Linked DNA regions of Canis lupus familiaris. The protein of the gene in region 6 purifies or fractionates together with the protein of the main gene of each other region. This does not show direct contact. Links are inferred from orthologs where the notes say so. Each region holds a gene or a part of one and is shown on either strand. Other genes may lie near its edges. The genes, in order: KPNA3, NCL, KPNA2, PABPN1, DDX39B, NCBP1 and KPNA4.

Region 1 (4,209 bases), on a different chromosome or scaffold from region 6:
TCATCTAATTATTTTTCTATTTATCTATTAATGTATTTATTTACCTATTCATTTATCTGTATATCTATTTATATTTATACATTTATCTATTTATTTTTATCTATTTTTGTATTCATTATCTGTTTACCTAGTTATCTAGTTATTTAGCTATTTATGTATATTTATTTTTATCTATTTATTTGTCTATTTATCTTTTTATTTATTTATCTATTTATTTATTTATCTATGTACCTATTTACTTATTTATGCAACTATTTATTTATTTATCTCTGTATTTATTCATTTATCTGTTCATCTACTTATTTATATATTTGTCTACTTATCTATTTATTTATCTTTATTTTTTTATTTATCTGTTTATTTATTTATTTATTTGAAACAGAAAGTGCACGCAGGGGGAAAAGGCAGAAGGAGAAACAGGCTTGATGTGGGGCTCGATCCCAGAACCCTGAGATCATGACCTGAGCTAAAGGCAGATGTTTAACCAACTGAGCCTCCCTGGTGCCTCCATATGTGATTTTATTTGCTGTTTTTATTCATCTCTATACTTTTTGACACATATGTATTTGGATTTTAATTCAGGTAGCATTATTTTAAAGCAGCAGCAGCGTTCTTTAATTTGGATACCTTAGTAAGAAACATCTCCAGATTTTACATGAGATAAGACCTGTGCTTACATATGAACTCTCTGACTTTGAGAAAGTCAGCAAACCTGAGGCTTTCTTTTGCTCTTATATTATTTTCAAAATCAGATGGGTTTAGGGCATGGCCTACACTCTCTGCTCTTCACTTGAGGGCCTTTTTCAAGGGCTTTGCAAATAATTAAACTTTCCCCCAAAGTTAAAATGCCAACTTGCTTCTTTTGTCTGTTTACTTTAATAACCTGAAAAATTATTTATATTGTTAAATATGTTTGAAAATCATTGGTATCTTTTTGGATAGACTTGAAGCATCTGGTATATGGTCTTGTTCTGTATATAAAGTGTTTCCTTGTAATTATTAGGTACTCAGCTTGGGCAGAGAGAAAAACTTTTTTGCCTGTTTTTTTTTTTTTTTTTTAAAGATTTATTTATTTATTTTAGAGATACAGAGAAAGAGGGTGAGTGAACTCAAGCAGAGAGAGAGGCAGAAGGAGGGAGAGAATCTCAAGCAGGCTCAACTCTCCACTGAGCATGGAGCCTGATGTGGGGCTTAATCTCACCTGCCTGAGATCATGACCTGAGCCCAAATCAGAAGTTGGACACTTAACCACCGGAGCCCCCTGCCAGTTTTTAAATTCATCCATCTAATATATAAATGCAGAAATTAGGGTAGAAGTTGTCTCAGACTTCTTTCTGTGTCTCATTTTTGTGAAGAATGATCTGAGGTAGGCATTGGGAGAGTTCTCTGCTGCCTAGTAGATTTAATCAGGTAAGCAAATATTTTTGCCACCAGCTAAAACCTAAAGTTTAATTACTTTTTATGTCACTACCTCTCATGTATGTTAATGTATTTTAAGCATTCAAACAAATACCTACACTCGTAATTTTTTTTTTTATTTTTTTACTTCCTGTAGATTCTGGTTGATACTGTTTGGGCTTTATCATACCTGACAGATGGAGGTAATGAGCAGATACAGATGGTTATTGACTCAGGGGTTGTACCATTTCTTGTGCCCCTTCTGAGCCACCAGGAAGTGAAAGTTCAAGTAAGTATTTTAAAATTTTTCTCACTTGTATAGAATCATGTTTGCTATGTAATCTGTTAAAACTTGAACAACCAGGCTTCAGTTCTGTCTTTGTGCATATATCTTCCATATTTCTCTTCTATTTTACTGCATCTGATTTTGCTGGTTTCCAAAGCTTTATCTGACCCAGACTGAGTTTCAGACTCATAATAGCCAATTGTCCTTGAGCACTTAGACATCTCCTCCAAGAATTCCTTCAGGCATCCCATTGCCATTTTGACCAGACAAAATTAAGATGTATCATCTTCTCCCACAAACCTTCCCGTCTTTATATATCCCCTTTCAATAGACCACACAGCCCAAGCTTGAAACCTGATTCCTCTTTCATTTCCCCTCCATTACAAAGTCCTGTTAATTCTTATTATATATATAGCGTTCAAATCTATCTACTCCTTATGTGTCTAGAGCCACTGATTCAGTTCAAGAGTCTTTTTGTCCCTTCCAGATAATTGCAACAGCATCCTAAACTGCATTTCCTCCTCTCTCCTTTCTCCTCACTCTAATTACTGTTGGGTGGCTGATATTCATTCCACTTCTGCAAAAGTGACTGTCTAGATGGAAATATGTGCCCATCCCAAGCCTTTAATAAAATATTTCTGTGGTACAATTTAGTAATAGATAAAAAGACAATTGTTAAAATGAACCTTTACTTTTTACATTTTTGTTTCTTTGTATTTTTTAAATCTTTTCTCAGCAGTTTTTCATAGTTTTTCTATATAATTCCATTTTTTTATAAGACCTATTTATAATTCAAAATTGCCTCTCGGTTCTACATAGTACTTTGTGTAAGAATACAGTGTCAATCATTCACCCCTTGCATTTTTACATTTTCCTGGGATTATGAAAAATACAAAATCCTTTCATCATAAACAAATTTATAGAAAGTATTTTTCCCCACCCCAGACAGCAGCACTCAGAGCAGTTGGCAACATAGTGACTGGCACTGATGAGCAGACCCAGGTTGTTCTCAACTGTGATGTCCTGTCACACTTTCCAAATCTCTTATCACACCCAAAAGAGAAGATAAATAAGGTAAGGCATATAATAGCCTCACTGGTGCATTTCTTTCTCTCTATATATTTCTTTTTAACTGTCCCCTTGTTTTCTGTTGCTTTGGTTTGATCATGATTTTCTTCAAAACCACTGTAGTTAAGATGAGAATTATTTCAAAACACCCCTGTATTTTATTATAAGTGCTGCCCTGATAAAATAATCAGTGTTTTTACGTAAATAGATTGGGTGGTAGCAAAAACCAGTAAAACAGTAGCCAGTATGTGAGAATACATATGAAATCTCTCATTGGATGGCTGGTATCTTTTATAAACAGATCATAATTTAATCTCTTTATGAAATTAAATTGGACCAAAAAGAAACAGTGCCTAAATTAAAGGATCAAAAAGTCTTTTTTAAAAATCTCAAACTTGAGATACAACCTTATTATTAATTGTTAAATATATACTTAAGTTCTTTATTCCTTTTGTGTCTGCCTTATTTCACATTGCAGAATTTTTTTAAGGTTCATCTATGTTGGAGCATATGTCAGAACTTCATTTCTTTATATAGCTGAATAAGTATTCCATTGTACATATATGTCACATTCTGTTTATCCATTCATCTGTTGATGGACACTTGGAGTTTTTCTACCTTTTGGCTGTTGTGAATAATGTTGCAGTGAACACTGGCATGCAAGTGTCTATTTGAGTCTCTGCTTTCAGTTCTTTTGGGTATATATCTAGGAGTAGAACTGCCCAGTCATATGGTAATTCTATGTTTAGCTTTTTTGAGGAACTGCCAAATTGTTTTCCGTAGCGGCTGTACCATTTTACATTCCCACAAGCACTGTATGAGGGTTCCAATTCCTTTTTTAAAATTATTATTATAGCCACCCTAGTAGTTGTGAAACGATGTCTGGTGGTTTTGATTTGCATTTAGTTTAATGTAGTTTTTTCTGCCTAAAATGCCACCATCCCCAAAACCAGCAAAATTGATCATTTCTTCTGTGTCGTAGCTATATTTATATATAGTAACTCAACTATAATTCAACTGTTGGATTCTTAAGAAAACTATATTGTCAAAAAGTGCATTTTATGAATACATTTGTTCCAATGAAGGGAAAGAGGGCAGAGTCTTTTAGACTCTGGGCCAGTTAAATTTTTACTGTAGAAATTTCAGTAATATAGGTGATTTTTACAGCTAAATGTATTCCATAATTGGAAACAGAGCTGAGAAAGCTGGACAGAAGTGGGTGCAGAGAAGTTCTGGCCTGTGATCGATAAGCTCTAAGTGAAATTATCACTGGGGAAAGGGAAAGGGTTCACATAGATAGCTACTAAGCCTCAGCAGCCAGTTAAGTCTCCTCAGAAGTTTTTCACCTTTGAGCATTTGTGTTATTTGCACTTGGGATCATTATGGGATCCTCAAAGTAGAATAAAACTCGATTTTATTCCCTCAGCATTTTTTTTTTTTAAGATTTACTTACTTAT
Region 2 (4,209 bases), on a different chromosome or scaffold from region 6:
TGAATCTGGAGAAACACGATGCCAAGGTTTTCCTAGGTTTGACTGCTCAGAGAATACCCTTCTGCTAGTTTGACCTTTCTTCCCAGCAGCAAACTTCCACTGGCACTCTCACCCTCCAAGCAGGCCATCTGTCTACTCCCACAGTACTTCCAACAGAACTGGTTTGAGTCACAGGTATGTGGAGCTTAGATTTCCTCACCCCGTAGTGAAAATCAGGACAAAATCAACTGTCCATTTATTTGCTTTAGACTGCCTTCTAAGCTGAACAAATCCTCCCAGTGTAGAGTGTGTGTTTACACTATTTTCAAGTTTTTTTAAGTAACCTCTATATCCAATGTGGGGCTCAAGCTCACAACCCTGAAACCAAGGGTTGCATGCTCTACTGGCCAGGTGCCCCTTCTACAACTTGATTTGGCAAGGACTAGTATGATTCTAAAACAGTTGGTTACAATCCACGGGCTTTTGGATTTGGATAGCTAGGTTTAAGATCTCTGCTCTGAGGGCAGTCCCAGTGGTGCAGCAGTTTGGTGCCACCTATGGCCTGGGGTGTGATCCTGGAGACCCCAGATCGAGTCCCACATCGGGCTCCCTGCATGGAGCCTGCTATTCCCTCTGCCTATGTCTCTGCCTCAGTCTCTCTCTCTCTGAATAAAAAAAAATCTTAAAAAAAAAAAAAAAAAATCTCTGCTCTGTAGCATCTGGGGCACTGTTTAGTAATCCTGTTAATCCCTTGGCAAAGACTTTTCATGTGGCCCCTAACTTTTATTAGTAGAGGCAGAGGGGACAAGGAGTACTTAAATGAGGGCGTACTGAACATAGTGTTAATATCTAAGACCCTTCTCGTTAGTTTAACCTGAAGTTGTTGGAGGACTTACAAAAAATACAAGCCTTTCATGTTACCTTACCAGCCATTTCACCAAAACTTGTAGCCAGGATGCTTGAAACCAACTAATTATTTCCAGCAGGGGTGGTGGGCTGGATCTGGAGTGGCAGAGCTGGCTTTGCCATGCTCCACCTTCAGGGACAGTCCAGGAGGAAGTACAAGTCTGGCACCAGAGTTTAGGACTTTTAATTTGTCCCAAAGTTGCTGAAGCAAAAATCATGATAAAACATTCTGCTTTCCTTTACACCCCCCAACGCAAAAAAAAAAAAAAACAAAAACTATTTGTAGGAAAAAAATGGTTTTGTACATGGGAAGAAACAATATAAATTCAAAACTTACAGATAAGGATTAGCTCTATCACTCATCTCTTTAAAAAGTTTATATGAATATCCAGTCAAAACCAACAGGGTATCTCCCTTGAAATGTTATCTATACGAATTTCCAAGTAGACCACAGGACTGCATACTGTCTTGGAATGTCCTCAGAAGGCTCTGTCATTGATCAGGTAACAGAGTAAAAACCCCAGAGTCCTTTTCTTTCAAACAGAAGAGGAAAAGACAGAGGGATGGAAGAAACTATTCAAACTTCGTCTTCTTTCCTTGTGGCTTGTGGTCTCCCCCTCCTCCTCTGCCTCCTCGGAAGCCTCCTCGCCCTATAGGAAAGCAAAACATCATTAAAGAATGAGTACAAAGCTGCCAGGAGTCCTCCCCTCCCCAGAGTGATCATATGAGAACTTGGGAGATTGATCCAGGGAACCCGGAGTTCTGAGCACATTCTGAAGTGCATATGCCACACAATGTTCAATGCATATTACAAGGAAGTCCCTCCCCCAGCCTCCTTACCTCCAAAGCCTCCCCGGCCTCTGCCACCAAATCCACCTCGGCCTCCTCTGCCACCACCTCGGCCTCCAAAGCCACCCCGGCCTCCACCACGGCCTCCAAAGCCACCTTCACCCTTAGGTTTGGCCCAGTCCAAAGTAACTTTGTTTCCATCTATTTCACCATCTTCCATGGCCTCCTTGGCAGCTTTGGCATCTTCCTCACTGTTGAAGTCTACAAAGCCAAACCTAAAATGCAAAATGAAATTGCCCATTATACAACACATACCAAAACAAGTGCCAAGATTAACCTCACATGTTGAATAGTGATCCCATAGGAAGTAAACTTGCTCAACTAAGACACAAGTAATAATAGTAGCTCCCCATAGAAGATCAAAACTGGTTTTATTGACTGCTTGAACCTCAGAGATGTCTCACAAAACAGCAACATATACCTCTGTGAAGACAGAAGGTAAAATAATGCTAACTGTGAATTGTCTCTTCTTCTCGTGCGAATCCATAAACTGCCACCAATTGACAGAAAGGAGCTCAATGAGAAGATACGCTAGATGGGGGGTGGGGGGGTGTCTCTACTTAGGCAGACACTGAACATTCATTCCTTGATCATCTTACCCTTTGGAGGACCCAGTCTCCCGGTCGGTGACTATCCTTGCCCGAACAGAGCCGTCGAATGACTCCTTTAATGTCTCTTCTGTGGTATCCTCAGACAGACCTTTGACAAACAGAGTTTTGGACGGCTCTACGGAAGAAAAATTGTACATTTTACCTAAAGCCACAATTCTTAACTGGATGCTGGCTTTCAATAATGTCCAGTATGGAACTACAGGCCAAGAATGCTCATCTTAGCAGAAGCTTGCTTTTCACCCAAAAGCTGTTTGGAAACAAAAACAGGTAAAAGAAACTTAGCAAACTAGTGCTTAATTAAAATATAAGTCACAGATCACCACCATCTTAAGCTTACAATGATTACCAAAACAGCAGAGATCCGGTCTCAGATCCTTTATGGAAAGCAGGAGCAGCAATGCAAATAAGTGGCAATCTCTAAGCAGACAGCTTTTATGATCACCGCACAAGGCAGTAACCAGAGGCAGATGTGCTGCTCAGAGAAGACATAGCTGGATCAGAACTTGACTATCTAGAGGAATTTTCTTGATTTCATCAATTATTTTCTCAGATAATCAGTCATCATATCCAGTATCCTTCACTCAGCAACAAGAGGAAAACACAAATGTCCAGCTCTAAATTGGACAAAAAAACAACCAATGCAGCATAGCACACTAAGGAGTGCTGACCCACACCACCACACCCTAATAAATATAACTTACGGCTTCTTGCATTAGGTGATCCTCTGGGTCCTTGCAACTCCAGTCTGATTGCTCTGCCTTCAATTTCCCTTTTATTACAGGAATTTAAAGCTTCTTTAGCATCTTCAAATGAAGCAAATTCTATAAATGCATACCTGAGGAAGAATAATCAATACTCAGAGCAAGTTACCAAGCACACGGTTCCTATATTATCTAATGCCACCAAGCCTTTTACCTCAAGAATATACCTAAATGATACTCTTTAAACCAACTTGTGGAGGCTTATAGGATTCAGCTTCCAGTAACATCCAGGAAAAAATTTACCTTCCCCCCTTCTTTAGATCTATGCAAAACATTCTTAGAGCCCATAGTTGATAACCTAAAGATGTAATTATTTTACCCTTTTGATTTGCCATTTTGGTTCTGGGGCACTTTAATAAAAGTTGCCTTCTCAAATACTTCCTGAAGGGTTTCTTCTGTTGCACTGTAGGACAGATTGCTTAAAACCAGTGTTTTTGATTCACCTACAAAGAAAAAAAATGCCAAATGAAGACTGAAACAATGGTCCTAAAGTTTAGACACAACTAGAATACCTTATTCAAGAACTTCTACACTTGCAAAGAGTTATCAACATGACAATGTCGATGCAGGTGGACTTCCACCTGTTACTAAGTATTTATTACTAAGTATTTGTCATGCAGTTTCCTCCCTGTTACCTAGAGATGTAAAAAAATATTGGTCTACATCCTCCTAGAATATCTAGATTATAATTTAAAAATGCACACCATCTAAGCTAAAGTATAAAACACACAAAAGCTAGATTTGTCTGTGTTCTAAAACAAAATGATTTTGTATAGCTTTTACTCAAGAACTGAATGATCATCACTACAGAGGCATAACTTGTTTGATACCTACATACATCTAATTTATTAGTTAACTTAGGAAAGTTCAAAGATGCAAAGATTTCCCTCTGTCAATCCTGGAATTCTATAAATTCTTACCACTCCAAGTGCTATTCTTTCCACCTCTGTAATCTTGACTTTGCCCCTTCTCTCCAGTATAGTACAGGGAAATAGACCGCCCATCTATCTCTGTTCCCTGCTTTTCTTCGAAGGTTTTCTCTGCATCAGCTTCTGTCTTAAATTCAATATAAGCAATCCTGCAAAAAGGGGGGGGGGGGGGCA
Region 3 (4,086 bases), on a different chromosome or scaffold from region 6:
ACAGCAAGTTGTGAATCATGGATTAGTCCCATTCCTCGTTGGTGTTCTCTCTAAGGTAATGAAGTCTTAGTATTTAGTCAAAGAATGTTAGTATTTATGGATGGACATTTGGTAGAGCTGTGCTTGATAAGATTCTTAATGTGCCAATATTGGATTCTACCTAGAGTCCTTTTGCTAAATAGTGGCCAGTAACCTCCTTCACTTAAGATTAGATGGAATCTGTTGGTAGTTAGAGTTGTTTTTCTATAACCATACTTTTGGGATCCTATTTTTACAATTGTTCTGAATTAAACTTGTTTCCTTATGCTTATTAGGCAGACTTTAAGACACAAAAGGAAGCTGTATGGGCTGTGACCAACTATACAAGTGGTGGAACAGTTGAACAGATTGTATACCTCGTTCATTGTGGCATAATAGAACCATTGATGAACCTCTTAACTGCAAAAGATACCAAAATTATTCTGGTTATTCTAGATGCCATTTCAAACATCTTTCAGGTAAGTTATAAGGTAGCATTTGAACTTGGCCTTGATGGTAATGGATGATATTTTAACCCACGGGAGGGCAGCTAAGTTTGCTCAGTAGGCCACAGAATTAGAAAGGCTGCTTATGTGGGCCACACTCTTGGTAAGACGTGACAAGGGATTATAAGAGATTTAAAGGAGATGACAAGGGGATGACCTGAATTTAAATCAAGTCCATATGTGGACACAATTCATTCCTATCTATTTTGTCAGAAATCTTTAATTCTTCAATGTCCTACTGAATTATGGTGAAATTAAATTTTGATGACTTAGTTATCCATTTTATTTTTTTTCTGATTCCCTTCCTAATTGACCCGAGCATGCTAGCATATGACACTTTGTCACAGTGGTTGGGGATAGGTAGGTCCTACCTAATGACTTTAAACTTCTGATTATGGAAATTCTACCTAGAAGAGTCTAGAATAATGATGCTTGGTGTATCTGTCACCCAGCATAAATAAATTGTCAACATTTGGCCTATTTTTCTACTCCTTCTTACCTAAACCCTCTAAATTATTTTGAAGCAAATAAATTATTTAATCTGTAAAAATTTATGTATCCTAAAATTTGAAGACTTTAAAACCACAATGTCATTTTTATACCTAATAAATTCTTGATTATCAGTAAGTAATCCAATCAGGGATGTTTATTTTTATACACCTTAGGCCATCTTTGTCCTTAGACGATGGTTCTCTACCTTGACTACACTTTGATGTTATCAGAGGTGCTTTTTAAAAAAGATTTTTTCTTTCATTCATTCATTCATTCATTTATTCATTCATTTATGAACCTGAGCATGTGTGGCAGGGGCAAAGGGGGAGGGAGAGAGAATCTCAGCAGACTCCATGCTGAGAGTGGAGCCCAAAATGGAGCTCAGTCCCACAACCCCTGAGACCATGACCTGAGCTGAAACCAAGAGTCAGATGCTTAACTGGCTTGAGCTACCCAGGCACCCCTGAGGTGCTTTTATAAAACAGTAATATTCTGTTCCCATCAAAGACCAAACTTGGTTATGGTAACATTTTTATTTTTTTTTATTTTTGTTTTTTTTTAAACTTTCTTTTTTTTTAATTTTTTATTAATTTAATTTATTTATTTATTGAGAGAGAGAGAGAGAGAATGGCTGGGACACAGGCAGAGGGAGAAGCAGGCTCCATGCAGGGAACCTGATGTGGGTCTCTATCCCGGATTTCCAGGATCACACCCCAGGCTGCAGGCGGCGCTAAACCGCTGCACCACCGGGGCTGCCTGGTTATGATAACATTTTTAAAGTTGCCCAGGTGATTTTGATTCATAGAAATGATTTGAGACCTACTGTAAGATCTAGCTGAGAGCTACAGAAGTAGTTGTTAAGAACAAGTATAGATCTGATCACCTTGAATTTTTTGAAAATGTAAACTGGAAATAAAACCATCTCATAGGGTTGTTGAAGGAACTTTAAAGTGGTTGTCTGAGATCCATCAATACCCAAACATAAACACGGTTTTCCTTTTTTTTTTTTTTTTTTTCACGGTTTTCATTAAAATAGAACATTCAGTAAATTCCACTAAACTTGGATATTTTTTTTAGGCTGCTGAGAAACTAGGTGAAACTGAGAAACTTAGTATAATGATTGAAGAATGTGGGGGTTTGGACAAAATTGAAGCTCTACAAAACCATGAAAACGAGTCTGTGTACAAAGCTTCATTAAACTTGATTGAGAAGTATTTCTCTGTAGAGGTGAGTAACATGGTAAAGTTAACAAGAATTTGGAAAATACACAAAGTCAAGCCCATAAGATTTTTTTCTTCCTTATACTTTTTAAATGAGCCCTGTGACCTTGTTAAATATGGCAAAATATCAGTGTGAGTAGGACATAATGTATATATATATTTTGCTTCTTAAATATTTGGCTTGATGATCATATAATCTTTAGAAATTAAAAAAAATTTTTTAAAAATTACCCCTCTTTCTTTAGAATGAACAGTCTTAAGGACTTTAGAGTATCTTGAGAGTAAGTTTGTATAGGAGATGATGGAAAAGTGGGCCAACCCCACTGCCATCTTCTGGGGCTAATAGGCCATCTTCCCATTTCCTTTTTTTTTTTTTTTTTTTAATTTTTTTTTAATTTATTTGTGATAGTCACAGAGAGAGAGAGAGAATGAGGCAGAGACACAGGCAGAGGGAGAAGCAGGCTCCATGCACCGGGAGCCTGACGTGGGATTCGATCCCGGGTCTCCAGGATCGCGCCCTGGGCCAAAGGCAGGCGCCAAACCGCTGCGCCACCCAGGGATCCCCATCTTCCCATTTCCTATGGAAAAGTGACAGGTGGGGAAGAAAGTCTGCTGTGGTAGCATTCCTTAGTCCATTCGGAATCTTCCATCTCCCAGGCGCTCCTGAATTGGCAAGTTTTCAGCAGCTTTCCCTCCACTATTTCAAATACTGAAATATGGTACGGCATTGATTAGTATAATATGCAGATGAAGACCTTAAGAGTAAATAGAGACTTCTAGGCAGGCTACTTCCTAGAAATGTGCTATGTGTGTGAAATTATATTGTTTGGTTTTGTTTTTTAATACTTCCAGGAAGAGGAAGATCAGAATGTTGTGCCCGAAACTACCTCTGAAGGCTATACATTCCAAGTTCAGGATGGCACTCCTGGGACCTTTAACTTTTAGATTGTACAGCTGAGACAGAAAGTTGTTTGTTGTGTACTGTTTGGTAGAAGTTTGTCTTACTGTTTCTCTACTAAGAACTCTTTTTAAATGTGTTTTGTTATTGTAGCACTTTTTACAACGAAACTATACTTGACCAGTTCTGAACTGTACAAACTGTATGAAGCTCCTCCTCTCAGTGGGTTGCTTATTTCTATGTGGAATCTTCTATCTTACAGTGTCCTGTAAATAAAGATTAAATTCCACCCTTTTCTCTACCTCACCGTTCCTATGCATTACTTTCTAATTTGGAGTTCTTAAGATTGCAGATGAAGGGTGACAGAACCAAACCAATGTGACCAACCAGAGGTGTAATTCTGGTGGCAGATGACATTTGATATCAGGTTTGTGATGTCCTCAAAGATAAAGGAGTCATAACTCTTCTGCCCACTTCTGAGCTCTGGGTTTGCTCTAGGCTGCTTCCATTCTTTGTCAGTAATGGCTGTTGGCACTTGCAGCTTCATATCCACTATACTCCAGCCAGAATAGAATTTTTCAGAAGTTTGCATAAGAAAATGAACAGAATTTCCCAGAAGGCTTCAGCCAATATCTCCTTTAAATCTCACTGGCCAGGGAGTGAGAGTGAGGCCAGGGAGTGAGGCTCCTTGCATGGAGCCTGCTTCTCCCTCTGCCTGTGTCTCTCATGAATAAATAAAATAAAAAAAATATATATATATACATATATACATACACATATTCTACACATATATGTATGTGTGTATATGTATGCATATTAATCATAATTAGGATGTTTATATATACGTGTGTGTAATATATACATGTACATAAAATTTAATATATATACACATGTGTATATATATATTTATTTATTTATATATATAAAATTAGAAGTCTCAAGCTACAAGTAG
Region 4 (4,689 bases), on a different chromosome or scaffold from region 6:
AAATAACCCTCTTGCAAACTTTGCACCTTTGTTTCTTCTTTTTAAATAAATGTGTAGTATCACTACTACATATGGCAACCCTGCTTTCCAGGGTGATGTCTCATTGGTTATCTCAGAGTGGAAACTTGTGGTGGGAACCTGCCTGGAGGAATTCCTCTGTGGTCTGAAGGAAGGTTTGGGGGCTGCGAAAGAGTTGAAGATGAGGGTGGCACCCAGATTCCCGGTCAACGCAAACATTTATTGACAATATGTGCCAAGCATATTGCCCTACAGTGGAGCTGCAAATATAAATAGGATCCAGCCTCTCCTCTCCAAATTCTCAGGATGCAGGACAAAATGATTACGTGCACAGTGGAGGTAGTAGGCCTGCTAGTCATGGGAAAGGAGAGGAGGCTAGCATAAGGTTTTGCACGAGCGGTGATGCTTAGGTTTGCAGTGGTCTGGTTGAAGAGGGACTTCATGTACAGAGGCACAGAGCTGGGTGCAGGTATACCCCCTGGAATGAGGAGTGTAGAAATAACATTTGTGACGTAGGCTGGTCCTGAGGTCTCTAAGGCCACGGTACAGTTTTACTTTTACCTGGCCAGCAAAGGGGAGCCAGCTCACTGTGGTAGCGGTGAGGACTGTTAAGAGTGACACTGGAAGCTGAGAGATCTATTAGGGGGCTTAGCAAACAGCCCAAGAAACAAACTGAAACTGAGGCATGAGCAGCGGGCTTGGAAAGTATGCCTGCACAAGGAAGACAGATCAGACAGGACTGGTAGCTCTGGACTGAAGATTCCTTCCTGCTTTCTGGTTTGGGAGACCTGATGGGTGTTGGTACCTTTTGGTACCTGGATGGGGAAAGCAAGCATCTTACTGGAGAGCTCCATTCAGAACCTCCATTTCCAGCAACATTCCATCCACTGGTAGCTTCCTGGTTAGCAAACCAGTTTACAGAAACCGCCTCAACGTTTCCAGCCACTGCTTTCTAACATCTCTCCAGCCGGCGACCAGTAGCGTCAAGATGGCGGCCCCCCGCCAAGGACTAGTCATGTGACCTCGGCTTTCCATGGCTGGAAGCCTTGCCGTCCGTTGCGGGGCAAGGTTCACCTGTCACGAAACGGATGTTAGCCCTTCGAATCTCACGAGCCAATCGGCATCCGAGAGGGCTATTGCTGCGAGGCGATCGGAAGATTGGCCTTGTCTCCTCGCCCTAGCCAGCGGCCAATCACCGAGCGTCATATACTCGCGGATCCGCCTGGAGGTGGGGGTGGGGGGAGGCAGGAATGTCGTCACAGCGTGGCGGTATTGTTACCTAAGGGGTTGAGAGGAGGTGGGGCGTATGTTGATTGACAGGCCAGCTCCCCTACCGGGATTTGAGAATTTGGCGCAATAGCCCGCCTTAGGGGTGGGGTCTTATTTGATTGCCAAGTAATATCCCCCAATGGAGTCCTAGCTCGTGGTGACGGGCAGGTTGCTAGACTAATGAATCCTCGGCGTGCCCGGCGCTGTTCTCCAATCGCCGGGCGGCGGGCCCCAGTCTGAGCGGCGATGGCGGCGGCGGCGGCGGCGGCAGCAGCAGCGGGGGCTGCGGGCGGTCGGGGCTCCGGGCCGGGGCGGCGGCGCCATCTTGTGCCCGGGGCCGGTGGGGAGGCCGGGGAGGGGGCCCCGGGGGGCGCAGGGGACTACGGGAACGGCCTGGAGTCTGAGGAACTGGAGCCTGAGGAGCTGCTGCTGGAGCCCGAGCCGGAGCCCGAGCCCGAAGAGGAGCCGCCCCGGCCCCGCGCCCCCCCGGGAGCTCCGGGCCCTGGGCCTGGCTCGGGAGCCCCCGGCAGCCAGGAGGAGGAGGAGGAGCCGGGACTGGTCGAGGGTGACCCGGGGGACGGCGCCATTGAGGACCCGGTGAGGGAAGGAGGGCGAGCGAGCAGGCCTGGCCGTGTCACGGGAGGCCCAGAGCTCGGGCGAGCGGGAGGCAGGCGGGGGGTGGGGTGGGCGGGGAATAACGTGGCTGGGGCAGGGCCGGGCGCGGATCCTCGACGTCCAGAAGGGGCCCAGCCGGGTTGATTCGGGCGTTATGGGTGCCTAGTGTTGTTCCAGAGAAGGTAGCTTGCTTTTCTTTTCATCGCGACCCGCGCGTGGGGCGAGGGAAATGGCCGAGCATGGCTGGGGCCGCGCTTGGACGGAGAGCAGGGCGCAGCCCCTGCGTTGGTTCCTCTTAAGCTCTTCTCCATACCCTTTCCACTCATTACAGGAGCTGGAAGCGATCAAAGCTCGAGTCAGGGAGATGGAGGAAGAAGCTGAGAAGTTAAAGGAGCTACAGAACGAGGTAGAGAAACAGATGAATATGAGTCCACCTCCAGGCAATGGTGAGTAACCGGCGGTTGCACGCGGAGCCCGGGTCCTCGGAAGGGTTCTGCGAGCACGGGTTGTGTGGGATTAGATGCTCGGGACCTTGGAGCTGCTTGTATGAGCAATTACTGGGCAGGTGCTGGGGTCATAGTCCATTGTGTGTTTTTTCTGACCTTAGTGAGGCAAGAATCTCTATTTTGATGATGGTAATTTTGTGCCTTTCTTTGTCCTTTTTACAAATGTGTTCTTTGTTCTTTAGTCTACCTCTACTCTTTGTGGACGTTGCCAACTGGCATTTGACCTTCAAGTCTCATAGTTCTTCCTTTAGTTGGAGACCCTTTAGTTAGGAGTCCTAAAAGAAGCTACTCGACTGCAGAGGGCTTTCTCTTTAACCTAGAACTGTTGAGTTTGGGTTCCCTTGATTTTGTTCACTTTAAAAATGATTTGAGTCAAAGCTGTTCAATAGGGTCTTGATTTGGGAGCAGGAGAGAAATTCCTGTACTGTTTTCTCTGATTTTTTTTTTAAGGATATGTTAATCTGTTGCTTGATTAGTCAGATGTTCAGCCAAGCATCTATTGTGTGCTAGACAGTATTCTTGGTAAGGGGTACAGCAGGGAACACAACAGACCAAAATCTTTGCCTTCCCTGTAGTGGTGGTGGTGGTAGTGATGCATATATTGGTCAAATAGAAAACCAGTTTCTTGCCACCCCCCCCTCCCTTTCTTTTTTCTTCAAAGCTGGCCCAGTGATCATGTCCATTGAAGAGAAGATGGAGGCTGATGCCCGTTCCATTTATGTTGGCAATGTATGTATTGGGGCCCTGATTGGGGTTGTGGGAAGGCTCTTGTTTGGGGAGTTGGTTAATAGGAGTCTTAAGGAATATTTCAAGGATAGGTAGTAGGTTGGGGGAGTATTGAGAGGGTTTGGAGGAGGTAAAAGGAAATGAAGATCAGCAGAGGCTCTGGGGTTGGGAAGAGAAGATTAACTTCTTAGAGAACGAGAGTTGATGTGATTTTGGAGAGGATAGGCAGGGTACCTGTGAAATATAACCTTCTCTACCCTCACAGGTGGACTATGGTGCAACAGCAGAAGAGTTGGAAGCACACTTTCATGGCTGTGGTTCAGTCAACCGTGTTACCATACTCTGTGACAAATTTAGTGGCCATCCTAAAGGGTAAGTAGAGAAGTAAAATGAGGTTGTTTTAATCACATCTTAGAAATAGATAAATAATGTTTTGTATTGAGCAGCGTTAACTTGTTAAAATAAGCAGTGTTTGTTTTATGGTTAGGGCGTTAGTGTCACATATACATATCGGGTCACGTAAATGCCTTCAGAGACCAAACATAAAGATGAAGGTTAGCATGAGTGGGATTGTGAACTAGAAAAAGGAGGGACAGGGATCCCTGGGTGGCGCAGCGGTTTGGCACCTGCCTTTGGCCCAGGGTGCGATCCTGGAGACCCGGGATCGAATCCCACGTCAGGCTCCCGGTGCATGGAGTCTGCTTCTCCCTCTGCCTGTGTCTCTGCCTCTCTCTCTCTCTCTCTCTCTCTCTCTCTCTCTCTGTGTGACTGTCATAAATAAATAAAAAAAATATTATAAAAAAAAAAAGAAAAAGGAGGGACAGCATTTGCTTAGCAATCCAGGCTGTTTGTATACTATTTTATAATTTTCTTAAGAGTAGGTGGAAATTTAGATTGAAGTATTCCATTTAAAAAAAATTTGACCAGGGCAGCCCGGTGGCTCAGCGGTTTAGTGCTGCCTTCAGCCCAGGGCCTGATCCTGGAGACCTGGGATCAAGTTCCACCTCAGGCTACCAGCATGGAGCCGCCTTCTCCCTCTGCCTGTGTCTTTGCCTCCACCCCCCGCCCCCGCCGTGTCTCTCATGAATGAATAAATAAATAAAAATCTTTTTAAAAAAAAATTGACCAATAAATAAATATGTGGCCCTGTTGTTATTCAGGCATACCTGCAAGTTGGATTTGATGTGTAAGCTGCTGTAACTTCAGATGAATGAAATGACAATTATTTTTTTCAGTTTTGCGTATATAGAGTTCTCAGACAAAGAGTCAGTGAGGACTTCCTTGGCCTTAGATGAGTCACTATTTAGAGGAAGACAAATCAAGGTAAGCCCTGTACTCATTGCTGTTCTGGTTCTGTGCAAACTCTCCAGGCTTATTTTAAGACTTTCTGTTGTATATCCCTCACTTTCAGGTGATCCCAAAACGAACCAACAGACCAGGCATCAGCACAACAGACCGGGGTTTCCCACGAGCCCGATACCGTGCCCGGACTACCAACTACAACAGCTCCCGCTCTCGATTCTACAGTGGTTTTAACAGCAGGCCCCGGGGTCGC
Region 5 (4,848 bases), on a different chromosome or scaffold from region 6:
CAGCGAGGACGCGCCGGTCACCTTGACTACCGGGCGGAGGACCCCGTGGGAACTCTCAGCCCCGCCAGCCTGTTGCCGAGCGGGGCGCCCACGGAGGGGTGACCAGAGAGAAGACCTGCCGGCAAGAACCCGAGGGAAGAGGTGAGGGACGCGGAGTGGACGAGGACAGAGAAAAGAGGTAACAGTGGGAGACGATGCTAGTTTCCTTCAAGGCTTTTGTTACTTGCAGTAGCGAAGGAGTTAGAAGTGCCTTTAAAAAAAAAAAAATCCACACAGGCGTTTTCTAAAGGCAACCCCGGAGCGCGCGGAACTCTCGAATCTGAAAGGGTCTTCTTCCGGTCTCCTGCGCCTGCGTGCTGGCAGGCGGGAAGGCGAGGCGCCTGGGAGAGAGAAGGCGAAAACCGGAAGTGAAGGCAGAGTCCCTCTTTCGTCGCTGCTGCCGCCGCCATATGCGCTCGCCTTGCTCAGGTAAGCTTTGGCCTTCGGTATCATCCGCCTCCATCTGCGTTTCTTTGCGGCCATCCTGTTCCCTGGACTCCTGATACCCCTTCCACAGACTATAGTCTGGTCCTTGGGGCCTAGTTGGGTCATTATTTCTATTGCTTGCATCCCTTTTCAGAGCTCTTAAGAGTTTCTGGAGGGGGGGGTAGCGATGCTAGGGGGCCCAATCCAAGATGGTGGCCCCAGCGCCATTGTGTTCCCTTCGCTCACTGCTTCTTCGCTTGGGCTTCTCGTTTATCCGAGGCCCTAGCTATGGTGAGAGGCGGCGTAGATGTCCTCTAGTCCAGGGCATTTGCGGAGGGCGGGGCTCCTTTCACTTTTCCTCTCTTCTGTGGGTCCTCTTAATGGCCCAAGGTGGGAACTGGAGGAGGAGCCGACTACTGAGCCTGGTTGGACCCTTCTGTGAGCTCACCAACCATCACTTGGAACATTTTCCACTTGTTCATGCGTGGTGTCATGTCGGTTATCGGAGAGGAGTCTGATCTGAGGAGTAACAGAAGACCCTTTGCTATAGTTCCTGGTAGAGCTGGAGCGAATGCTGTCTCTCTCTCGTTCTATGGAGAAGAGACGAGTACTTTCCCGTCCCAGCCACGTCTTCTGTATCCCCTCCCCCACGTTACACGGGGACCCCTTAGACACCGGGAGGTTCCTGAGGAGTGGGAGGTGGATGGCAGCCACATGATGTTATTTCGAGGAGTGAGCGCTTTGCGCTAGGATGACCTTAATCTATCACCAGTAACTGATGGCTGCTTTGTTAGGGAGATTACTAGGAAAGCAGAGAGGTCCTGTGAGGATTTTCAGCACTTACCTTGTCATCTCCATTCTTCACTCCGTTGTCCTACTTTGCTTTTCGTTACCCGTTTTTCTTCATTACTGTTGCTTACAGATGAGGAATTCATGGGCTGGTTGTCCCCTTCCTACTTCCTGCTTAATGCTATTCTGATCCTAATTTTGTTGAAAAGTTGTGTCTCAACCACCTCACTTGGGACCACTGTGTTATGTTTGCTGTTGCTTTTATGTTTTGTGTTCCTGTTAGTTTTATCCCCAGGTAAAGGGGTCACAGTTTAGGGAAAGTGGGAAGAGTGTGGGGATGGAAAAGAGGGGCGAAGGCTCTGCTCCTGACTAATAAGTCCTCCATCTATTTTTTTCCTAGCTCTTCTATCACAAACTAGGGTATTTTTTTTTTTTAACTGTTGCTCCAGCCCCCACTCTCCTCCTCTGTTTTTACTTATTCTGCGTGAACCCATCCAGAGACCCATCTCCTTCTCCCCCTGCCGGCCCAGTTATGGCAGAAAATGATGTGGACAATGAACTCTTGGACTATGAAGAAGATGAAGTAGAGACAGCAGCTGGGGGAGACGGGTCTGAGGCCCCTGCCAAGAAGGATGTCAAGGGTTCCTACGTCTCCATCCACAGCTCTGGCTTTCGTGACTTCCTGCTGAAGCCAGAGTTGCTCCGGGCCATTGTTGACTGTGGCTTTGAACATCCATCAGAAGGTAAATTTTCTGCAGGTCATAGTGTTCACTAGGCTCTCTAAGGATACAAGAAAAAGGTGTGTTAAACAGTCACTTAATGTAATAACGTTCTTATTTAGGCTACTTTAGGAAATAAAGGTCAAAAACTATTTCAGCAGTAGGAAAGATTTATATAGATTGGTTTTTTTGTTCACGATAACATGAAAAGGCTAGTGACCTAAAAGCAACTTAGAGGTTTGTGCTTGTGACCAGCATTTATTCTTGTCTACTTGTTATTAATTTTGTTGTTTAGGTTTCTAAATTTGAATTTCCTGAGAGGACTGGTTGGACCTTTAGTCTCTCCCTGTTGGGCCAGGCCACCTCTGGTCTCTGGAAATCTTCATAGCTGGTCTAAAATGGGTGGCTTCTGGATCAGCTACCAACCCCTTCAGAGTTGCAAGGTTTTGTAGCCTTAAAGCAAGGGAAGCTAAGTAGGAGAAATGGCTTGGGGCAGGCAGTCACATGTCCTGGATTGTTACAGATCAAGGAAAGTCGGGACAGAGTCAGAAGCACCAAAGGTGAACTGTTGGTAGGTGCAAGAGGGTTGTTTGCAGTTTGTGGGGTGGGGGGAGGGCACTGGAGTTGGAGGAGGCTAAAGCTAGAAGGAACTAGGAAGGTCTATCTGGTTTTGAGATAAATCTGAGGGAGCAGAGAGGTAGAAGGGGTCTGGAAATTGATAACCATTTAAGAAGGGGTGGGAAATGGGTTTGACATGGTGAAAAAAGGTTGTGGAGTTATCTGGAGACTGAAGTCTAATTTATCTTTTTTCTCCCCCTGCTTCTAGTCCAGCATGAGTGCATCCCTCAGGCCATTCTGGGAATGGATGTCCTATGCCAGGCCAAGTCAGGGATGGGAAAGACAGCAGTGTTTGTGCTGGCCACACTACAACAGTTGGAGCCAGTTACTGGACAGGTACACTTGGGGAGAGTGCTATGGAAGACATTTTTGGTTAGGAATATTGGAGAAGGGTGTTTTGTCTCAGCTGTGTGATGCTTTTAGAGCCATGAGTGTTTGTGGCTAAGATGAACTCTGTCACCTTTGACTGATGGCCCTGGGGGATATTACATAGTAATCATGGGGTTAATGGTTTAGATCTCAGAATTGAAGTAATTTATGATCTGTCAGATGTGCTTTTGTGACAGTTGGTTCCCCAGAGGGGATAGTAAGTATATACTGTTTATCTCCATGTACTCCCCCCTCCACCCAAGGTGTCTGTGCTGGTGATGTGTCACACCCGGGAGTTGGCATTTCAGATCAGCAAGGAGTATGAGCGCTTCTCTAAATACATGCCCAATGTCAAGGTAAGCCAAGATAAACCTGGGAGAGTGTGGGGAGTTGGAGACATTGAAGACTTGTAGACCAGCAGTCTTCATTTTCTCAGATGATTAATTAACTTTATATGAAGGTCATTTACTTGTAATAGCTGGTCAGTTTCTGCAAACTTTGGTGTGCAGGAGATTTACATTCTATGGTTTACTTGAATACACATTGCAATTTCTGATATGTTCACTATATTCCAATTTTGGAGAAGCTTTAGTTTGTTCTTAACACATCATGTTAATATAGCTAGCAGCGGAAGACTGCATGGAATGGGTTCTGGAGGATGTTTACCACAGTACTACACTTGGGTTTACTACTTTTTTATACTGACTTTGAATGATTTCATTGTGCTTTGGTTGACAGTTTGAGAATTCTAGGATGTGTGCAAGAGAAAGCTGGAAGCTTCAAAATATCTCTTTAAGTGTGTGGTGTGTGAATTTTGAGGATTCTTTAAAATGGCAGAAAATTGAAAGATATTTAGGGGCCACAACAGACGAGGTTTGGGCGGTTTTCCATATATGATCTTGATTTTCATAGTATGGTTCCCAGACCTCTAGTTAGAGCATCATTTGGAAGCCTGATGGAAATGCTGATTATATGGGTACCATCCCAGACCTAACTGAGTATAAACATGCATTTTATTTTGTTTTGTTTTATTTTATTTTATTTTATTTTATTTTATTTTATTTTATTTTATTTTATTTTATTTATTTATTTATTTATTTATTTAATTTATTTTTTAAACATGCATTTTATTTTTTTTTTTTTTTTTTTTTTTTTATTTTTTTTTAAACATGCATTTTAATACAATCTTCAGGTAATTGGAGTTTGAGAAGCGCTGATGTGTATAACCTCCTACCTTCCTGACTAGGATGTGGTGAAAAACAGTACTTTTGTTTGGATTGTTGTGATATTCTCCTGTTACTCATGTGTTGAGTCCTAGCCCTAAACTAAAAATAGTAATTCTTAAAAAAGATTTTATTTAAGCGAGCAAACACACACGAACGGGATGGGGTCGGGTGGGGAGGGAGGTCTAGGGAGAGGGAGAAGCAGACTCCCCCTCTAAGCAGGGAGTCCCACATGGGGCTATATCCCAGGACCCCTAAGATTGGGACCTGAGCTGACACTTAGCGGACTATGCCACCCGGGCACCCCTAAATTGGAAGTAGTCTTAAGAACCAAAGTAGTAATAAATAACAATGTGGGGGTAAACATGCAGTAAATATGCTGAAGTAATAGAAGGTTCATGATGAAAAGATTTGTGTTCTCTTACCTCTAATCGAACTTCATAGAAGGTAATCATTTGTTAACCTTTTTTTTTTCGTTATGGTTCTGTGACACCAAGTATTAGGTACTATTCTCTCGTTTTATAACCTTATGAGTGTTTTTTATTTCTTTTCATGAGAGATTGGTTGCGATTTTTTTTTATATTTGAAGATTAATTCTTTAACAATAATTTAAGTGTCATATCTCCTTATGTTGTAGCTATCCTTAGCATTTCTTTTATGTCCTT
Region 6 (3,613 bases):
GACCCAGTACTACCTTCAGGAAGCTTACCTGAGTCTAATGGTTAGAAATAGAGTTTGCACAGTTAATAATACAAAAAATTTTAAGTGTTACGGAGAAATATGACTAATTCTGGCTACTGAAGAGTGGAAGACCTTCAGAATGAGTAGGTCATACAAGTTGAGAGGTCTTATTTTCTGTAAGTGTACTTGAACACGCAGTAACTAAATGTTATGTTACTTTAAGATTGTTTGTTTGGGAAATTTTGCACTCCACAATTCGTAAGATGAACAAACACGTTCTCAAAATCCAGAAAGAGCTAGAAGAAGCTAAAGAAAAACTTGCAAGGCAACACAAACGGGTAAGTCTTCTGCTGGTTTGCAAATGGTCAAAGAAAAGATGCCAGAAACTCTTAAAAAATTCAAAGTTCATTACCTTGATGGGAACTTTTTTTGTTTTGTTTTTTGTTGGGTTTTTTTGAGGCCAAATTATGCAGACTATTGTAGAAGTAGAGGGAGAGGAAGGACCTGGGGGTGTGTTGCTCCCTGCTGTTCTCCTGTGTGATAAACCTGGAAGGAAGCCACAAACCTTGCTTTTCCATACTTCTCTTTGAATCCACTTCATGTTTGCCCTTCCCAAAAGGGAAGGCAGAGAAGGAAAGAGGACACTTGTATTTCTCTAAGAGTTTCTGGTGCAAGAGGAGACAGGGAGACTGTGCACCACTTCCCCAGCACTGTGGAAACCTTCCCTGGTTTATGGAATACTTCTCATATTAAGAAGTATGGTTAGCCATTTTGGGGGGAAGCAATGAACTATGTTCCATGATTTTGCATAATAGTACTACTAGTGTTTATGATAGTATTTTCCAGTGATGTGCATATTTACCAGAGTAGGTGGAGACAAATGTAATGACTTACCTGAACCTACAGCAGGTTCAAGTGCTAGTCTCCACATACATTCATATATGTGTATGTATGATATATAAACATACATTCACAAACTTAAAACACTGCGAGGTAAATGATATCATCCCCATTTAGTAGATATCCAAATTGAGGCTCAGAGAACTTAAATAACTTGTTCAAGCTTACATGGTTAATAAGTGACAGAGGTTGGGATCTGATCCAAGCCTGTCAAATTCCAGGGACTTCCCTTCATGCCACACCATTCTCTAGATATGTGGTGTCCAACACAGTACCTGCTACCACATCTAACTAGAAGTTAAAAATCAAATACAATTTAAAATTCAGTTTTTTAGTCATATGAACCCCATTTCAAATGCTCAACAGTCATGTATGGCTAGTGGCTACTGTGTTGGGCAGCACAGATTTATGTAACGTTTCCCTCATCACAGGAAGGTCTACAGGCAACAGTACTATAGAACCTAGCCTTAGTGTGGTATAGGAAAAAGACCACCATCTACCCAATTGCCTACAAGATAAGGCAGGTGCTACGTTAGAGATAAAAGAATTTTGTAAAAACGGGGAGGTTCTGATAACTTTGTCTAAAGGGTAGAAGGCAACCATCCCAGAAGGAGTATTGCCAACAGTGTTATCTAGGAGGAAGTGGGTTTTCCAGGTCTGGTGACGCTTACTTTCTTACTCAGAGGACCAAAGGACTTTAGTATGTAACATACCTGGAGTCAGGTTCTAGCTCAGCTGCTTACTAGCTTTATGACACTGAGAAGGTCATCTAACAACTAAATTAAAAAGACAACACCTAAGTGAATGCTCTAAGTTCTTCAGGGTGAGCTGGAAGGGAATTGTTAAAGCTTAATAGAGTTGTATTGAGCCCATCATTGCCAGCGGAAGCTTGAACGGTCTGCTTTGAGTTATATGTAGTCGGAGCTATTTCTAAATTATTGCAAGGATGAGCAGGTTCTCAAGCTGTATGCCATTCTGCCCAGCTTTTCTATATGGCCCGTTAGATGAAAAACTGGCACACTGCCTCTCTCTTGTTACTGTTGAGGCCATATGGCTATGTATTAGTGACTCAGTTGTTTTGCTGGCCATCTACTTTGTTGAATGAGCAGTAGCAGAGTTATAGGAATATACTGCCTGTCCTCATTATTTGCGGGTGCTGATTTTGCAAACTCACTAAACTTTGTGACCTCAAAAATCTATATTCGCAGTGCTTTCCCCGTCATTCAGACATAGGCAGAGCAGTGAAAATTTTGAGTTGCCCAGTGAGCTTGTTCCCAGATAAGGTTGAACAAGGCAATACTCTGCCTTGTTTCAGTTCTCATACTATTTAAAAAAAAAAAAAAAAAAAAAAGGATCCTTTTCAAGGTGTATTTAGTGCCACATTTGAGCTTTTGTCGGTGACTTCACTGTTGAAAATGGCCCTGAAGCATAGGGCTGAAATGCTGTCCAGTAGTGCAGGAAGGCTGTGAGGTCTCTGACAGTAAAAATACGTGGATTACATGAGCTTCGTTTGGTGATGAATAACTGTGCTGTTGGCCATGAGTTCAGTGTTCACAAATTTAACAATAGGATAGATACATTCAGAAAAAGGAAATTCACCAATTGTACCTAGGCTGTTCCATCAAGTTCTAAAAAAACATCTGTAATGCTGTGGTAAAAGCAGCTCAGTTTGTGGATTCATAAGACAATGACTGATTTTTTTTTTTTTTTTTTTTTTTTTTTTTTGACAATGACTGATTTAAAAAAAAGTGGACAGCCAAAGAAGTTGACAGTCACATTACTCGGGGTCAGGAAAATGTTAAATCTTTCTCAAGCAGTTTAAGTATAAAGAAACATTGTATATAATTGTAAAACATATATTAAATAAGCTATCTTCAAACAGAAACACACATAAGGTTACGTATGGATCAGTTGACAAAAATAAGCCAAAAGGCTCCCAAGAACCTAACCCTGGATTTCCCTAAGCAGTGGCTCAGGGTTCCCAGCAAATGCATAAACAGAACTATGGTGAATAACAAGAATCTGCTACACACTTTGCATGGAGCTCAAAGCTGTATTCATTTTGAATGGAAGAAAATGTGACACACACTTCCTCCCTGAATGGGCTACCTTGTAAAAGTTGTAACTCATCATCCAGGACAGGTGCCACTAAGGATGGCCTAGCTACGTGCCTGCAGGCCTTTTGGGTGTATGCGTGTGCCGTCGGGGTGGTGGAGTACTTTCACCAGAGAATACAGGCTTCAAGTGGCATTTGACCAGACACAAGAACATCCTTCCCTTTGACTTAGTGAGATTTAATATGCTGGAATTCTAAATGGTATTTTCCTTTTGTTCCTGTGCATCTTGCAGCGAAGTGATGATGATGACAGAAGCAGTGACAGGAAAGATGGGGCTCTAGAGGAGCAAATAGAAAGACTGCAGGAAAAAGTAGAATCTGCTCAGAGTGAACAGAAGAACCTCTTCCTTGTCATATTCCAGGTATCTTGGCTTGGGACACTGATAGGTTAAAAAACAATGTAGTTCTTTAGGCTTGAAAAATGTTATTTTTTTTAATCATAATACTTGAGCATTTATAAAAGTTTAAAATACAAAAATTTACAAAGGAAGTAAAAGTTCACTACTTGCAGGTAACCACATGGACCCCCCGCGTCTGTGGTATATACTTAGCATTCTTACGTGAGCATTTCTCCAAGCTTTCACAGAATGTTTGAGG
Region 7 (4,209 bases), on a different chromosome or scaffold from region 6:
TCACTGGTCCATCGAATATCTTAGCTAGTGCATGTATCTTTTATTAAAAAATGTATTAGAGTTTTCCTACTTTTATGTATTCATTTTAAATAACCTGGAACAGATGGGAAAATTACAGCATTAACAGTGTTGCCCACTATGGGTAAAAGAACTTCTTAGAGAGGACTTGGTTATGTAGGGAAAAAAATCACAGAAGTATTCACATCTGAAAATGCAAATTAGTGTTTATAGATAGAATTATTAAGAAATTAATGCATTATGCTCACTATTTTCAGTAGATTATTTGAGTTTTGGAGCTTTTCTCAACAGAAGTTCTACAAGATAATTAAAGCCCTAAGGCCCCTAAGTAGGCAGATATTCTCAAATTATGGTCTTTGGGTCTCTAGTAGATCCTGAGACAACTTCAGGGGTATAAAAGATCAAACCCATTTTCACAATAATACTAAGACTTTATTTGCCTGTTTTAAATATGTTAACAATTTATATTGATGTTGTAAAAGCAACTAATTAAAACCTGATGGTACCATAGCAAAATCAAGTAGACAGTTATGCAAAACTGATTTCAAATATCTTGTAGATATTGTATGTGCCATTGTGCACACATAAGAGGGAAGGCCATTTCAAAATCTTTGAGAATGTCCTCAATGAAATAGTAGAAAAAATTTCTTTAAATCTGGAGCCTAGATTAAGAAAGACTGGGTTAGGGATCCCTGGGTGGCGCAGCGGTTTGGCGCCTGCCTTTGGCCCAGGGCGTGATCCTGGAGACCCGGGATCGAATCCCACATCGGGCTTCCGGTGCATGGAGCCTGCTTCTCCCTCTGCCTATGTCTCTGCCTCTCTCTTTCTCTCTCTGTGACTATCATAAATAAATAAAAATTAAAAAAAAAAAAAAAAAGAAAGACTGGGTTATTTCCTACTTTGTGCTAAGAATTATGCCATGTGCTGTGGAAAATACTGCAAAAAAGCTTGTGGCATAATTCTTGCTATATAAGAGCTTTAGAACCTAATTGAGAAGGCAAAGGCATGTTAAAAATAAGGTGATACTCAACAGCAAATGTAAGCATGTGCTGTGTAAATGTTCTTGGAATTTAGAGAGGATATTGTGAAAACATAAAAATTGAAATGGACTTTGAATAGACAGAAAGGAGGGCATTCCAAGTATGGGGAATGAGATGTTAAAGAGCCTGGAAGTGAGATTGAAAGTGTGAGACAGACAACTGATCTATTGTTGAAGTACAGAAAATAAGATTAGTTGGGTAAGATGGAGCCAACTGATACTTTAAGCCAGGGCAAGGAGTTTACATTTATTGGGTAGTAAATATGCAGCCATTTCTTCATTTTTATAGGGGAATGATCTGATTAAGCTTTTGCTGTGCGGGGTATTCAAATGGGTGAGGGTTTGTGTAATCTCTATGTCAAATATGAATTTGAATTTAATTACATATCATTTCACAAGAGTATGTATATCTCTTACAGGAAGCTTTTGTCCAGTGATCGAAATCCACCAATTGATGACTTAATAAAATCTGGAATATTGCCTATTTTAGTTCATTGTCTTGAAAGAGATGACAAGTAAGTACTTTATTTTAGAAAGAAATTTGGAATGTATCCTTTGCAGAAGACAAGATCTTCTAGTGGTTTGATCTTTAATGAAAAAAGAAAGGGGCTATAAGATGGAGTCGAAAAGCCAGTGTAAAACAATGAAATGCAAGGTGTGTTTACATTAAGAGGTAAACATAAAGGCCAAAGCAATACTTGAGAATGATGCATTTATCTTTTAAACTGTGAAAATTGGCAAAAGCTGGTTTGGCTGATTAGTACTTGAGAAAACTGGGCAGTAATATGCAGGTATCTTAATAAAGAGTTTTTAGGGCACCTGGTTGGCTCAGTCAGTTAAGCGTCTGCCTTTGGCTCAGGTTATGATTCTGAAGTCCTGGAACTGAGCTCCGGGTCGGGCTCCCTGCTTATTAGTAGAGAGCCTGCTTCTCCCTCTCCCCTTTCTCCTGCCCCCATGCCATTCATGCTCTCTCTTAAGTGCTCACTGTCTCTTCCAAATGAAGAAATAAAGTTTCAAAAAAAAAAAAAAGTTTTTACTAAAAATAAGTAGGACACTTGAGGAAATTGTGTGCTTTTTATACTGAAGAGATACTGTAAATACATTGGAGGTTTAAAAAAAAGTGCTGGATACATAAATACTTTCTGAAACAAAATATTTAATACTTGAAAAAATATTTGAGGGGAGGAATGGTTGGTAGATACTAGATTTGGACCAATGTAAAAATCCCTACTGTTTAAAATGATTTGTTCTTTGTAGTCCTTCTTTACAGTTTGAAGCTGCATGGGCTCTGACAAACATTGCATCTGGAACCTCTGAACAGACTCAAGCAGTAGTTCAGTCCAGTAAGTTGGTGATTAACAGATAAAATTGTGATTTCTAAAGAAGTTAGTAAAAAAAAAAAAGTGATTATCTTAAAAGAATAAAGCTATTTAGATTATAAAATAATAGCTACCCAATTACAGAGTAGTTGAAATAGGCCAGCTTAAGTATGTTACTTTGTCATTTTGTCCCAGTGACTGACATTTTCTGTTTTCAAAAATTCATTTAATGCTAAATCTGAGAACATTTCCTAATTATAGTAGCAGATTACATTATTGTAGTTATACTTCATTTATAGAAATCATAAAGTAAAGATGTTTTTTGCATTGCCATACTAGCTTTTGGCCTCTCTTAGGGAGATTTTCATCATATGGTTTAATCTTTTAGAAAATAGTCTTGAAAAATGGCTTGAAATTTTTTCATTGTTATTAGGATTGTTTTTCTTTTATGTTTCAAGAGATATAAGTGGGAAATTATTACTGGAAGAAATAACCTGAGTATTATTTTCATGAATACTGTTCTTCTATCAAAGAAATTAATAATTTATAGACGGTACTTTTAAAATACTCTTCACATGTGTAAGCAATATACTCGCATAAGCTTGTTAAGACCTTGGCACTAATTTCTACATGATTTTATTTTATTTTTTTTTCTACATGATTTTGAAGGGAAACAAAGGTGTTATCCAAGTAAACATTTTATCATGTAGACACTTCTGTTGTAATATTACATAGAATATTGACTACCCTAATACCTTTAAATCATGATAAAACTGGCTTAATTTTGGATTTTGCTTTTGGTTTTATTTTATATAATTGACTAGTAAATTTTATAATCTCAAGACAATGTTTTAATCTCTCTTTTTCTTTTCTGTTTTATGTGCTTTTTCAAAATCAGCAGGAGCCTTAGAATTTAACACTGCCAGTCTGTCTTGTTTTACCAAATATAATAGATGAATGATTATTTTTTATGAGTAAAGCATGGTTGATCCACATGTACTTAAATAGCATTTTTCAAAGTAGTATCGGAAGAAAGAAAAAAGAGAAGAATCATTTGTTCAATTTAGTATTATTTTGTTTGATACAGACCTCTCTCTATGTTTCCCATCCTCGTTATAAAGCAACAGAACCACTTTCTAAAAAAAAAAACAAAAACAAAAAAGAACCACTTTCTGATTCAGAAGGTCTCATGTAGTGACAGGAATTGCTGGTCTGCCAAAAGACCCATGTGATGTTATTTTTTTTTATTTTTATTTTTTTGTAATTGAAATGTAATTCACATATAGCATTAAATTAGTTTTAGGTATACAACATAATGTATGCACCAAGATGTAATTACTAGAAGTCTCATTTCCCCTAATATCATATCAGATTACATAATATGCAGTACAATATTATTGACTATGGTTACCATGCTAAACATTTCATTCTCATGACTTATTTGTTTTATGATTACATGTTTGTATGTTTTGACCCCTTCTATTTCACTCACCTCCTGAAACCCCTGCCCTGTCAACCATCAGTCTGTTTTCTGCATCTATGAATTTTTGTTTTGTTTGTTCATGTATTTTGATTGACAACAAATCATATGTTGTCTCTCTTTTTTGACTTATTCCACTTAGTACCTCAAGGCCCATTGATGTCCTGATTACAAGTATTTCATTTTTTTGGTAATGGCTGAGTATTCCATTGCGTGTGTGTGTGTGTGTGTGTGTGTGTGTGTGTGTGTACACACATATTTGTCCATCCATCCATCGTTGAGCACTTCAGTTGTTTCTATATTTTGGATATTGTGAATGATGCGGTAATGAACATAGAGGTGCATATATCTTC

Evidence for each region.
Region 1: the proteins of NCBP1 (region 6) and KPNA3 purify together in Homo sapiens (co-immunoprecipitation; 3 studies listed by BioGRID and IntAct, with this or other methods). This does not show direct contact. The link is inferred for Canis lupus familiaris from reciprocal best matches to the Homo sapiens genes NCBP1 and KPNA3.
Region 2: the proteins of NCBP1 (region 6) and NCL fractionate together in Homo sapiens (co-fractionation; 3 studies listed by BioGRID and IntAct, with this or other methods). This does not show direct contact. The link is inferred for Canis lupus familiaris from reciprocal best matches to the Homo sapiens genes NCBP1 and NCL.
Region 3: the proteins of NCBP1 (region 6) and KPNA2 purify together in Homo sapiens (co-immunoprecipitation; 5 studies listed by BioGRID and IntAct, with this or other methods). This does not show direct contact. The link is inferred for Canis lupus familiaris from reciprocal best matches to the Homo sapiens genes NCBP1 and KPNA2.
Region 4: the proteins of NCBP1 (region 6) and PABPN1 purify together in Homo sapiens (co-immunoprecipitation; 3 studies listed by BioGRID and IntAct, with this or other methods). This does not show direct contact. The link is inferred for Canis lupus familiaris from reciprocal best matches to the Homo sapiens genes NCBP1 and PABPN1.
Region 5: the proteins of NCBP1 (region 6) and DDX39B purify together in Homo sapiens (affinity purification with mass spectrometry; 6 studies listed by BioGRID and IntAct, with this or other methods). This does not show direct contact. The link is inferred for Canis lupus familiaris from reciprocal best matches to the Homo sapiens genes NCBP1 and DDX39B.
Region 7: the proteins of NCBP1 (region 6) and KPNA4 purify together in Homo sapiens (co-immunoprecipitation; 3 studies listed by BioGRID and IntAct, with this or other methods). This does not show direct contact. The link is inferred for Canis lupus familiaris from reciprocal best matches to the Homo sapiens genes NCBP1 and KPNA4.

The regions. Positions count from the first base shown.
Region 1 is NC_049243.1:2,064,748-2,068,956, forward strand, and holds part of KPNA3 (importin subunit alpha-4), read left to right. Parts: intron 1-1,555; coding exon 1,556-1,687; intron 1,688-2,629; coding exon 2,630-2,758; intron 2,759-4,209. UniProt on the Homo sapiens protein: Functions in nuclear protein import as an adapter protein for nuclear receptor KPNB1. Binds specifically and directly to substrates containing either a simple or bipartite NLS motif.
Region 2 is NC_049246.1:43,513,687-43,517,895, forward strand, and holds the end of NCL (nucleolin), read right to left. Parts: intron 4,185-4,209; coding exon 4,027-4,184; intron 3,550-4,026; coding exon 3,426-3,549; intron 3,181-3,425; coding exon 3,047-3,180; intron 2,916-3,046; exon of another isoform or gene 2,837-2,915; intron 2,461-2,836; coding exon 2,334-2,460; intron 2,263-2,333; exon of another isoform or gene 2,128-2,262; intron 1,950-2,127; coding exon 1,726-1,949; intron 1,536-1,725; coding exon 1,459-1,535; 3' UTR 1,054-1,458; downstream 1-1,053. UniProt on the Homo sapiens protein: Nucleolin is the major nucleolar protein of growing eukaryotic cells. It is found associated with intranucleolar chromatin and pre-ribosomal particles. It induces chromatin decondensation by binding to histone H1.
Region 3 is NC_049230.1:14,375,226-14,379,311, forward strand, and holds the end of KPNA2 (importin subunit alpha-1), read left to right. Parts: coding exon 1-55; intron 56-314; coding exon 315-497; intron 498-2,093; coding exon 2,094-2,243; intron 2,244-3,088; coding exon 3,089-3,181; 3' UTR 3,182-3,435; downstream 3,436-4,086.
Region 4 is NC_049229.1:3,702,505-3,707,193, forward strand, and holds the start of PABPN1 (polyadenylate-binding protein 2), read left to right. Parts: upstream 1-1,525; 5' UTR 1,526-1,533; coding exon 1,534-1,884; intron 1,885-2,233; coding exon 2,234-2,348; intron 2,349-3,069; coding exon 3,070-3,137; intron 3,138-3,399; coding exon 3,400-3,506; intron 3,507-4,369; coding exon 4,370-4,457; intron 4,458-4,545; coding exon 4,546-4,689.
Region 5 is NC_049233.1:1,178,624-1,183,471, reverse strand, and holds the start of DDX39B (spliceosome RNA helicase DDX39B), read left to right. Parts: upstream 1-1,786; coding exon 1,787-1,997; intron 1,998-2,799; coding exon 2,800-2,927; intron 2,928-3,223; coding exon 3,224-3,316; intron 3,317-4,848. UniProt on the Homo sapiens protein: Involved in nuclear export of spliced and unspliced mRNA. Component of the TREX complex which is thought to couple mRNA transcription, processing and nuclear export, and specifically associates with spliced mRNA and not with unspliced pre-mRNA.
Region 6 is NC_049232.1:55,304,531-55,308,143, forward strand, and holds part of NCBP1 (nuclear cap-binding protein subunit 1), read left to right. Parts: intron 1-223; coding exon 224-338; intron 339-3,249; coding exon 3,250-3,378; intron 3,379-3,423; exon of another isoform or gene 3,424-3,613. UniProt on the Homo sapiens protein: Component of the cap-binding complex (CBC), which binds cotranscriptionally to the 5'-cap of pre-mRNAs and is involved in various processes such as pre-mRNA splicing, translation regulation, nonsense-mediated mRNA decay, RNA-mediated gene silencing (RNAi) by microRNAs (miRNAs) and mRNA export.
Region 7 is NC_049255.1:26,770,027-26,774,235, reverse strand, and holds part of KPNA4 (importin subunit alpha-3), read left to right. Parts: intron 1-1,476; coding exon 1,477-1,572; intron 1,573-2,314; coding exon 2,315-2,400; intron 2,401-4,209. UniProt on the Homo sapiens protein: Functions in nuclear protein import as an adapter protein for nuclear receptor KPNB1. Binds specifically and directly to substrates containing either a simple or bipartite NLS motif.